Linked DNA regions of Cricetulus griseus. The protein of the gene in region 1 interacts with the protein of each later gene in a biochemical or structural test. Links are inferred from orthologs where the notes say so. Each region holds a gene or a part of one and is shown on either strand. Other genes may lie near its edges.

Region 1 (3,822 bases):
AAGGCGAGCGCCACCAAACTGGGCTTTATATTGTTTTATAGTCTACATTTTATTTTATCTGATAGCTAACCATTGTTACTTAGTTTCTGTGACTGGTGAGTCTGCTCTGCTATAACTTCACTTTTCCTCTACAATTTAACACAGTGAAAGTCTGTCGTTGTTTCTCCCCAGTGATGGGCACAGAGGTTTGCCTCTTTAGGGGAGAGGGCCTGTCCTGGCTCCCTGCTGTCGCCTTCATGTCTGAATGGTACTTACTCTATCTAGAGCAGTGGTTCTCAACCTTCCAATGCTGTGACCCTTCAATACAGTTCCTCATGTTGTGGCAACCCCCAACCATAAAATTATTTTCATTGCTACTTCATAACTAATTTTGATACTGTTATGAATCATAATATAAATATCCATTTTCTGATGGTTGTGGGCCATCCCTGTGAAAGGGTTATTCAAACCCCAAAGGGATCAGGACCTACAGGTTGAGAACAACTGATCTAGTGTCCTATCTTTCATTGTGTGCTCAAATAATTCTTTATATAACATAGATACAGCAAACTGCATGTAATAGAACTATAAATGTTGTATTTTCAGGCCATATCGTATCTGCTTTTAGTTGTAGGTTGGGGATTAGAATGTTTGGTTAGCATTTTAAGAGAACGTTGCTTTTTGCTAATATAATTAAATGGACAGTCTCATGACATAGATACATATACTTGCCAAAAGTGTGTCTGTACTGTCTGTTTTGGATATTTAAAATAGCCCCTCCTCCCAGGGCCTATCTCTTTGGTATTTCTCCTCTGTGAGTGAGGTATTTCCCAAAGTAATTAATTTGCTCTCATACTGGGTTCTGTTGTGGCAAGTTAGAATAACAGTGTTAAAATCTGTATTTGTACCTTATTTTAATTATTTTCAACTAGATTTCTCATTTTCCTCTCTCCTCCCTCTTTCTCCACTGCCTGCACTTTGAGACAGAATCCATCCATTCTGCATAGGCTGCTTGGAACTTAGTATGAAACCCAGGCTGGCCTCAGACTTCTGATCCCTCAGACTCTGGGTGCTGATTACAACACTGTGTCAGTACCCAGTTTTGTGGGCTTTGTTTTGAGACAGGACCTCGCTGGGCAGCCTAGTTGGCCTAGAAATGAAGGATCCCCTGCGTTAGCTTTCCCAGTGCCAGCACAGCAGTCATGGACCACCATGTCTTCCTTCAAGTTAGACTTCTTAGACTGAAACTGTAACACTGAGTTGTTACATGAACCAACCCCCTTTTTTCCTTCAGTGCGAGGGATCAAATCCTCTCTCATGTCAGGCAACCCCTTCCACCTACTGAGCTACATCCCTGAGTATTTTCTTGTCATTTTATGTCATTTTGAATAGAAAATTAGATGTATCTATAGTCATATCTGACACTAATAGATCTCTTCCTTTTTTAGAATTAACCATTTGATAATGAATATGTAATTTTATTCACTTTTTGTCGTGCTTTAAACATGAGTATTTAGCTGGGTGTTGTGGTGCAGGCTTTTAATGGCAACACCCAGGAGGCAGAGGCAGGAGGATCTCTGAATTGAAGACTTGTTAGTGTAAACAGAAAGTTGCAGACCAACTAAGGCTATGCGGAAAAGGTGGGGAGGGGGTGCTAGAGAGGTGGGTCACTGGTTAAGAAGAGCTCTTGCAGAGGACCCGGGTTTACTTCTCAGCACCCTCTCAGTAGCTTACAAGCATCCGTAACTCCAGTTCCAGGGGACCAAACAGACACCAGGCATGCATGCAGTGTACACATGTGCACAGGAGCAAAACACTCATAAGATAAAACAATTTTATTTAGAGACTTACTATTAAGATTTAGGTGTATGTGAGTTCAGGTGCCCACAGAGGCCATAGATAGCAGAACCCCTTAGGAGCTGTAATTACAGACAATTATGAGCCGTCTTACATGGGTGCTAGGAACTGAACTCTGTTCCTCTACAGTAGCACTCTTAACTGCTGAGCCATCTCTCCAGCCTCAGAAATGAATAGTTCCCATTGAGAACTTTCTGGTATTGAAGACTGTTTGTTAAAGCCCGTGTTTCCTTCCTTCGGCAGTATGATGCTATCAGAATCAATCAGCTTTACGAGCAGGCCAAGTGGGCTCTTCTCCTGGAAGAGATTGAATGCACTGAAGAAGAAATGATGATGTTTGCAGCCTTGCAGGTAAGGAAGACAGAGTGGATGATTCTTAGCAGGGAAGGGGAGAGTGGTGTTAAAGTGGCACGTGGGGCTGGCAAGATGGCCCAGCAAGCAGATGCTTGCTACCAAGCATGGTAACTCAAGTTTGATATCTAGTACCTACTTGGTGGAAGGAGAGGACCAGCTCCCAAAAATCTGCTGAGGCTGGGCATAATGGCACGCCTTTAATCCCAGCCCTGGGGAAGCAGAGGCAGGCAGTTCTCTGTGAGTCTGGGGTAGCTAGGGCTACATAGTGAGACTCTTTTTTTAATGCTGTCCTCTCACCTTCATGTGCACACATGAATGGCACATGCATGCACATACTAAATAGATGAAAATTTTTAAACATTAAAAGTGGACATTTACAAAAGTAAACGTGATTTTCTTCTTCTCCCTCTTTTTTTTTGGGGGGGGGGGTTCTAAACAGGGTTCTCTATTGTAGCCTTGGCTGTCCTGAAACTCACTGTATCCCCGACTGACCTCAAACTCAGAGATCCACCTGCTCTGCCTCCCTAGTTCTGGGATGAAAGGTGTGTGCCACCACGACCCAGCTAATGACTATTTTTTTGTTGTTTAAAAATATTTAAGAATAGGGGCTGGAGAGATGGCTCAGAGGTTAAGAGTACTGGGTGCTCTTCCAGAGGTCCTGAGTTCAAGTCCCAGCAACCACATGGTGGCTCACAGCCCTCTGTAATGAGATCTGGTGCCCTCTTCTGGCATGCAGGCATACATGCCAGCAGAACACTGCATACATAATTAATAACCCCCCTCCCCAAAAGACAGGGTTTCTCTCTAGCTTTGGAGGCTGTCCTGAAACTCACTCTGTAGACCAGGCTGGCCTCAAACTCACAGAGATCCACCTGCCTCTGCTTCTTGAGTGCTGGAATTAAAGGCGTGCACCACTACCACCTGGCTTATAATAAATAAACATATATATATATATATATATATATATATATATATATATATATATATATTCATATATACATATATGAGTCAGTGGTGCGTTTGGTTACTTTCCTATATCTTGTAGAAAAATTGGTCTTTTCCCCTCCCCCCAGTGTATAGTAACTTGAAGCTAACTCAGTTTTCTCTTAGAAATAAAATGCTAATAATATTAAATTGATGATAAGGCACATTGCAAACTGGCGGTGGCAGATATAACACCTTTAAATAATAAGAGTTCAAGAGACAAGGATAAACATAAATGTTTTTACAATATTAATTATTAAGCAGAAAGCTAATGTTTCTTTAAACTAATATTTTTCCACATGTGGGCTTTGGATACCACATGCTTCAGAATTATATTATTACTTATTAAAAAATTAATTCCCATTACTGATCCACCCTCCAGTGGAATGGCTTTAGACAAATCAGTGTGCTTAGAAGCAGTGAGGTCCATTGTCACCAGACTGACTCTCTTCAGATGTCAGTGTGCCTGAGTGGGGCTTTGGCAAGCATTCCTGGCCTGTAATGGGATTCTAGTCTTCCCTAAGGTCCCAGTGCAATTGATATTCTTTAAATAGAAATGGGAGAAGCAAGGCTGGCCCTCACCCTGAGGATTTCACTTCTTTACTCAGAACAGAAAAGCGTCTCGGCCTTCCAAATGCACCAGCGCAC
Region 2 (3,604 bases), on another chromosome or scaffold:
TCACCTAATGAAGAACTGCTAGGGAAGAGGATCTAGGAGATGGTCATTAAAGTAATAAACCTTACAGTTGTTGGGACATCTGAGTGACTGGGTGTGAAGCTCAAGGGAAAATCTGAATTGAACTTTGTGAATTGCTGACATGAGTAAAAATTAAGTACTAGAGAGGCAAGCCTTCTCAGTGAATATAGAATTCTCCCATCAAAGCTTTTGTCCCTCCCAACCTCCAATTCCATGCCTCTTTCTCAAAGGGATGATCATGGCTTCTCCCCCTTGCACTGGGCCTGCCGAGAAGGCCGCTCTGCGGTGGTTGAAATGCTGATCATGAGAGGAGCACGTATCAATGTGATGAATCGTGGGGATGATACCCCCCTGCACCTGGCAGCCAGTCATGGACACCGTGACATTGTACAGAAGGTATGGGCAAACCCTTCAACACCCACATCTCACATGTACACAATTGTGAAGTCAGTAACAGCTATTGTCACATGGAGAATGTGTACTATCTAAATTTGGGACTATATTCTTTTCTTTTCTTGGCCATGGGGCGCAGCTGTTGCAATACAAGGCTGACATCAATGCAGTGAATGAGCATGGGAATGTGCCCCTTCACTATGCCTGTTTCTGGGGTCAAGACCAGGTGGCAGAGGTAAGTACTCAGACCTAAGTCCTAGGATGAGTGGGAAACAAATTGAGCATGGAACCATCAACCCATCCTGTCAATCCTACTGTGTGACACTTACAGGACAGTACACTGCATCTCTGTTCGTGCTTGCTTGTGACACAGTTAACAGCCCCCCCTCCCCCTGAATAAAAATTATCTTTTCTTTGCAGGACCTGGTGGCTAACGGGGCTCTTGTCAGCATCTGTAACAAGTATGGAGAGATGCCTGTTGACAAAGCCAAGGCACCCCTTAGAGAGCTTCTCCGAGGTCCATTCCCTACCCCTAGCTTGTGTCCTCTTGTCCTATCTTGCATCTCTTCCCTCTATATCACAGTTAAGGCTAAGACTGTTTTTCCTCCCCAGAACGGGCAGAGAAGATGGGCCAGAATCTCAACCGTATTCCATACAAGGACACATTCTGGAAGGGGACCACTCGTACTCGGCCCCGTGAGTCACTGCTGTGGGGGGAAGGGCTGTAATTCAGGATCCTGGGCTAGTGAAGTGGGTTAGGGTGAAGCTGGGTACCTGACCTACCCATATTCTCAGGAAATGGGACCCTGAACAAACACTCCGGTATTGACTTCAAACAGCTCAACTTTCTGGCAAAGCTCAACGAGAATCATTCTGGAGAGGTGATCCCTGCCCTTCTTGCCCCTCCCTCTCTAACACTCACAAACTGCCACTCTGTATCTCTAAGGTTTTCTTCCAGTTAATAGAAAGGAAATAGTATAGCCTGAGCTAATACCGCCTAACCTCTACCTGTCCTTCAGCTATGGAAAGGCCGCTGGCAGAGCAATGACATTGTTGTGAAGGTGCTGAAGGTTCGAGACTGGAGTACAAGGAAAAGCAGGGACTTCAATGAAGAGTGTCCCCGGCTCAGGTGGGACAGCAAAAGTGGAAGCCCAAATAGTACTGAAAAGGGAAATTCTGTTGGGTCTCACCACTCTCTCCCTCTCCCAGGATTTTCTCACATCCAAACGTGCTTCCAGTGCTAGGAGCTTGCCAGGCTCCACCAGCTCCCCACCCAACCCTTATCACACACTGGATGCCATATGGATCTCTCTACAATGTACTACATGAAGGCACCAGTAAGGATACTGGCCTTGTTGGGGAGGGACTAAAATAGGGGTGGTAAACTCTAAATTAATTCTTGCTTCCGGTTAGATTTCGTTGTGGACCAGAGCCAAGCTGTAAAGTTTGCTTTGGACATGGCAAGAGGCATGGCTTTTCTACACACACTAGAGCCTCTCATACCTCGACATGCACTAAATAGCCGTAGTGTAATGGTGAGTCCACAAGTTCACTACTGGTCCCCAAAGCCCTCTGCATGCCTACAATAGGGCCCACCTTTTTGAACTTCTCTTCCTCAGATCGATGAAGACATGACTGCTCGAATCAGCATGGCTGATGTCAAGTTTTCTTTCCAGTGCCCAGGGCGCATGTATGCACCTGCCTGGGTGGCCCCTGAAGGTAGGTGAAGGCATCATGTTGGGAATTGAGAAGAACCAACACAATAACAGTGGAAGAGGCAGAGATAGGACAGGCTAGGCAGCTGGAGTAGTAAGCCCTCTTCCTTCCAGCCCTGCAGAAGAAGCCTGAAGACACTAACAGACGCTCAGCAGACATGTGGAGCTTTGCAGTGCTTCTGTGGGAACTGGTGACACGAGAGGTGCCCTTTGCTGACCTCTCTAATATGGAGATCGGAATGAAGGTGAGCATAGAACTGCACATACTTGTATAGGGGTAGTGGTGCTGACAATTGCTGTGGCAAGCTCTTCTCACAATTTGTGCAGATTTATAGTAATCCCATTGAAGGGTCAAAAGTTTTTTTACCATATGATTAACTCCAACTCTGAAGTTCACCTTGTTCCTTGTAATTTCCAGGTGGCACTGGAAGGCCTTCGGCCTACAATTCCACCAGGTATTTCCCCACACGTGTGTAAGCTCATGAAGATTTGTATGAATGAAGATCCTGCAAAGCGACCCAAGTTTGACATGATTGTGCCTATCCTGGAGAAGATGCAAGACAAGTAGGACTGGAAGGTCCTGGCCCAGACTCCAGAGGTGTCAAAACAAGGTTGGGGGAGTGTACTTCCCCAAAGCTGAAGGCCTCTGGTTGCCTCCCGTCTCCAATCATGGTACTACCCCAGTTATGGGGCTCATCCCTGCTCCCATCCCTACCACTGTAGCCCCAAAAGGGGCTGGGCTCAAGAGCTTTGTCACTTGCCACATGATGTCTCCCAACATGGGAGGGATAAGCCCTGCCTGTCACAATAAAGTTTATTATGAAAACAGGCTGGTGTGGGGACAGAGGGAAAGACAAATACATCTGGGTTAGGTGGCTCAGGTGAAGTAGTGCGGCTTCTTCACATTGATACCATATTCACTGAGGGCAGGGGTCAAGTCCTCCATGGTTAGGGTGTACTTGCGGTCCTAAGGGAAGAGGGAAGACCACCAGCTGAGCACAGTAATCCCAGATTCCAGTCCCTCGTAGATAACCCTGAGTAGGCCCAATACCGCCCCTAGGATGCTGCTTCCCAAAGGGGTTTCAGGATAAGTTAAGCCTGTACTGCTGTGGAAGGTGAGCCGCCTTTCACACCTTGCTCTTGCTCCGGGAGCTGCCAGAGGCTGTACCCTTCATTTTGCAGTGCTGTAGGGCATCGTTGGCAATATCTGAGATGAATTTCTGGGCAGCAAGTGAGATGAGCCGAATTCTAGAGAGAAAAGTGGGGGTGGGGGTGGAGTAATGAGACATATAACAAACTGCACCCAGCACTCAACAGTCTAACCTACCCTGAGTTTACTACTCACATGCGTGGGTCTGAAGCTTCAAAGCCAGCACGGTTCAGGTAATAACCAGTCACTGCATCTGGAATCTGGGAAATCAAATTAAACAGCGGTCAGTATTAGCCCTGACCCGATGCAATGGGTGGGAAGGAGGAAT

Evidence for each region.
Region 2: the proteins of Fermt2 (region 1) and Ilk form a complex in vitro, tested with the Homo sapiens proteins (2 studies listed by BioGRID). The link is inferred for Cricetulus griseus from reciprocal best matches to the Homo sapiens genes FERMT2 and ILK.

The regions. Positions count from the first base shown.
Region 1 is NW_023276807.1:201,465,957-201,469,778, reverse strand, and holds part of Fermt2 (fermitin family homolog 2), read left to right. Parts: intron 1-2,079; coding exon 2,080-2,187; intron 2,188-3,822. UniProt on the Homo sapiens protein: Scaffolding protein that enhances integrin activation mediated by TLN1 and/or TLN2, but activates integrins only weakly by itself. Binds to membranes enriched in phosphoinositides.
Region 2 is NC_048596.1:93,959,978-93,963,581, reverse strand, and holds the end of Ilk (integrin-linked protein kinase), read left to right. Parts: intron 1-248; coding exon 249-414; intron 415-550; coding exon 551-646; intron 647-831; coding exon 832-928; intron 929-1,023; coding exon 1,024-1,107; intron 1,108-1,206; coding exon 1,207-1,292; intron 1,293-1,430; coding exon 1,431-1,540; intron 1,541-1,620; coding exon 1,621-1,748; intron 1,749-1,824; coding exon 1,825-1,946; intron 1,947-2,030; coding exon 2,031-2,130; intron 2,131-2,240; coding exon 2,241-2,371; intron 2,372-2,544; coding exon 2,545-2,694; 3' UTR 2,695-2,782; downstream 2,783-3,604. UniProt on the Homo sapiens protein: Scaffold protein which mediates protein-protein interactions during a range of cellular events including focal adhesion assembly, cell adhesion and cell migration.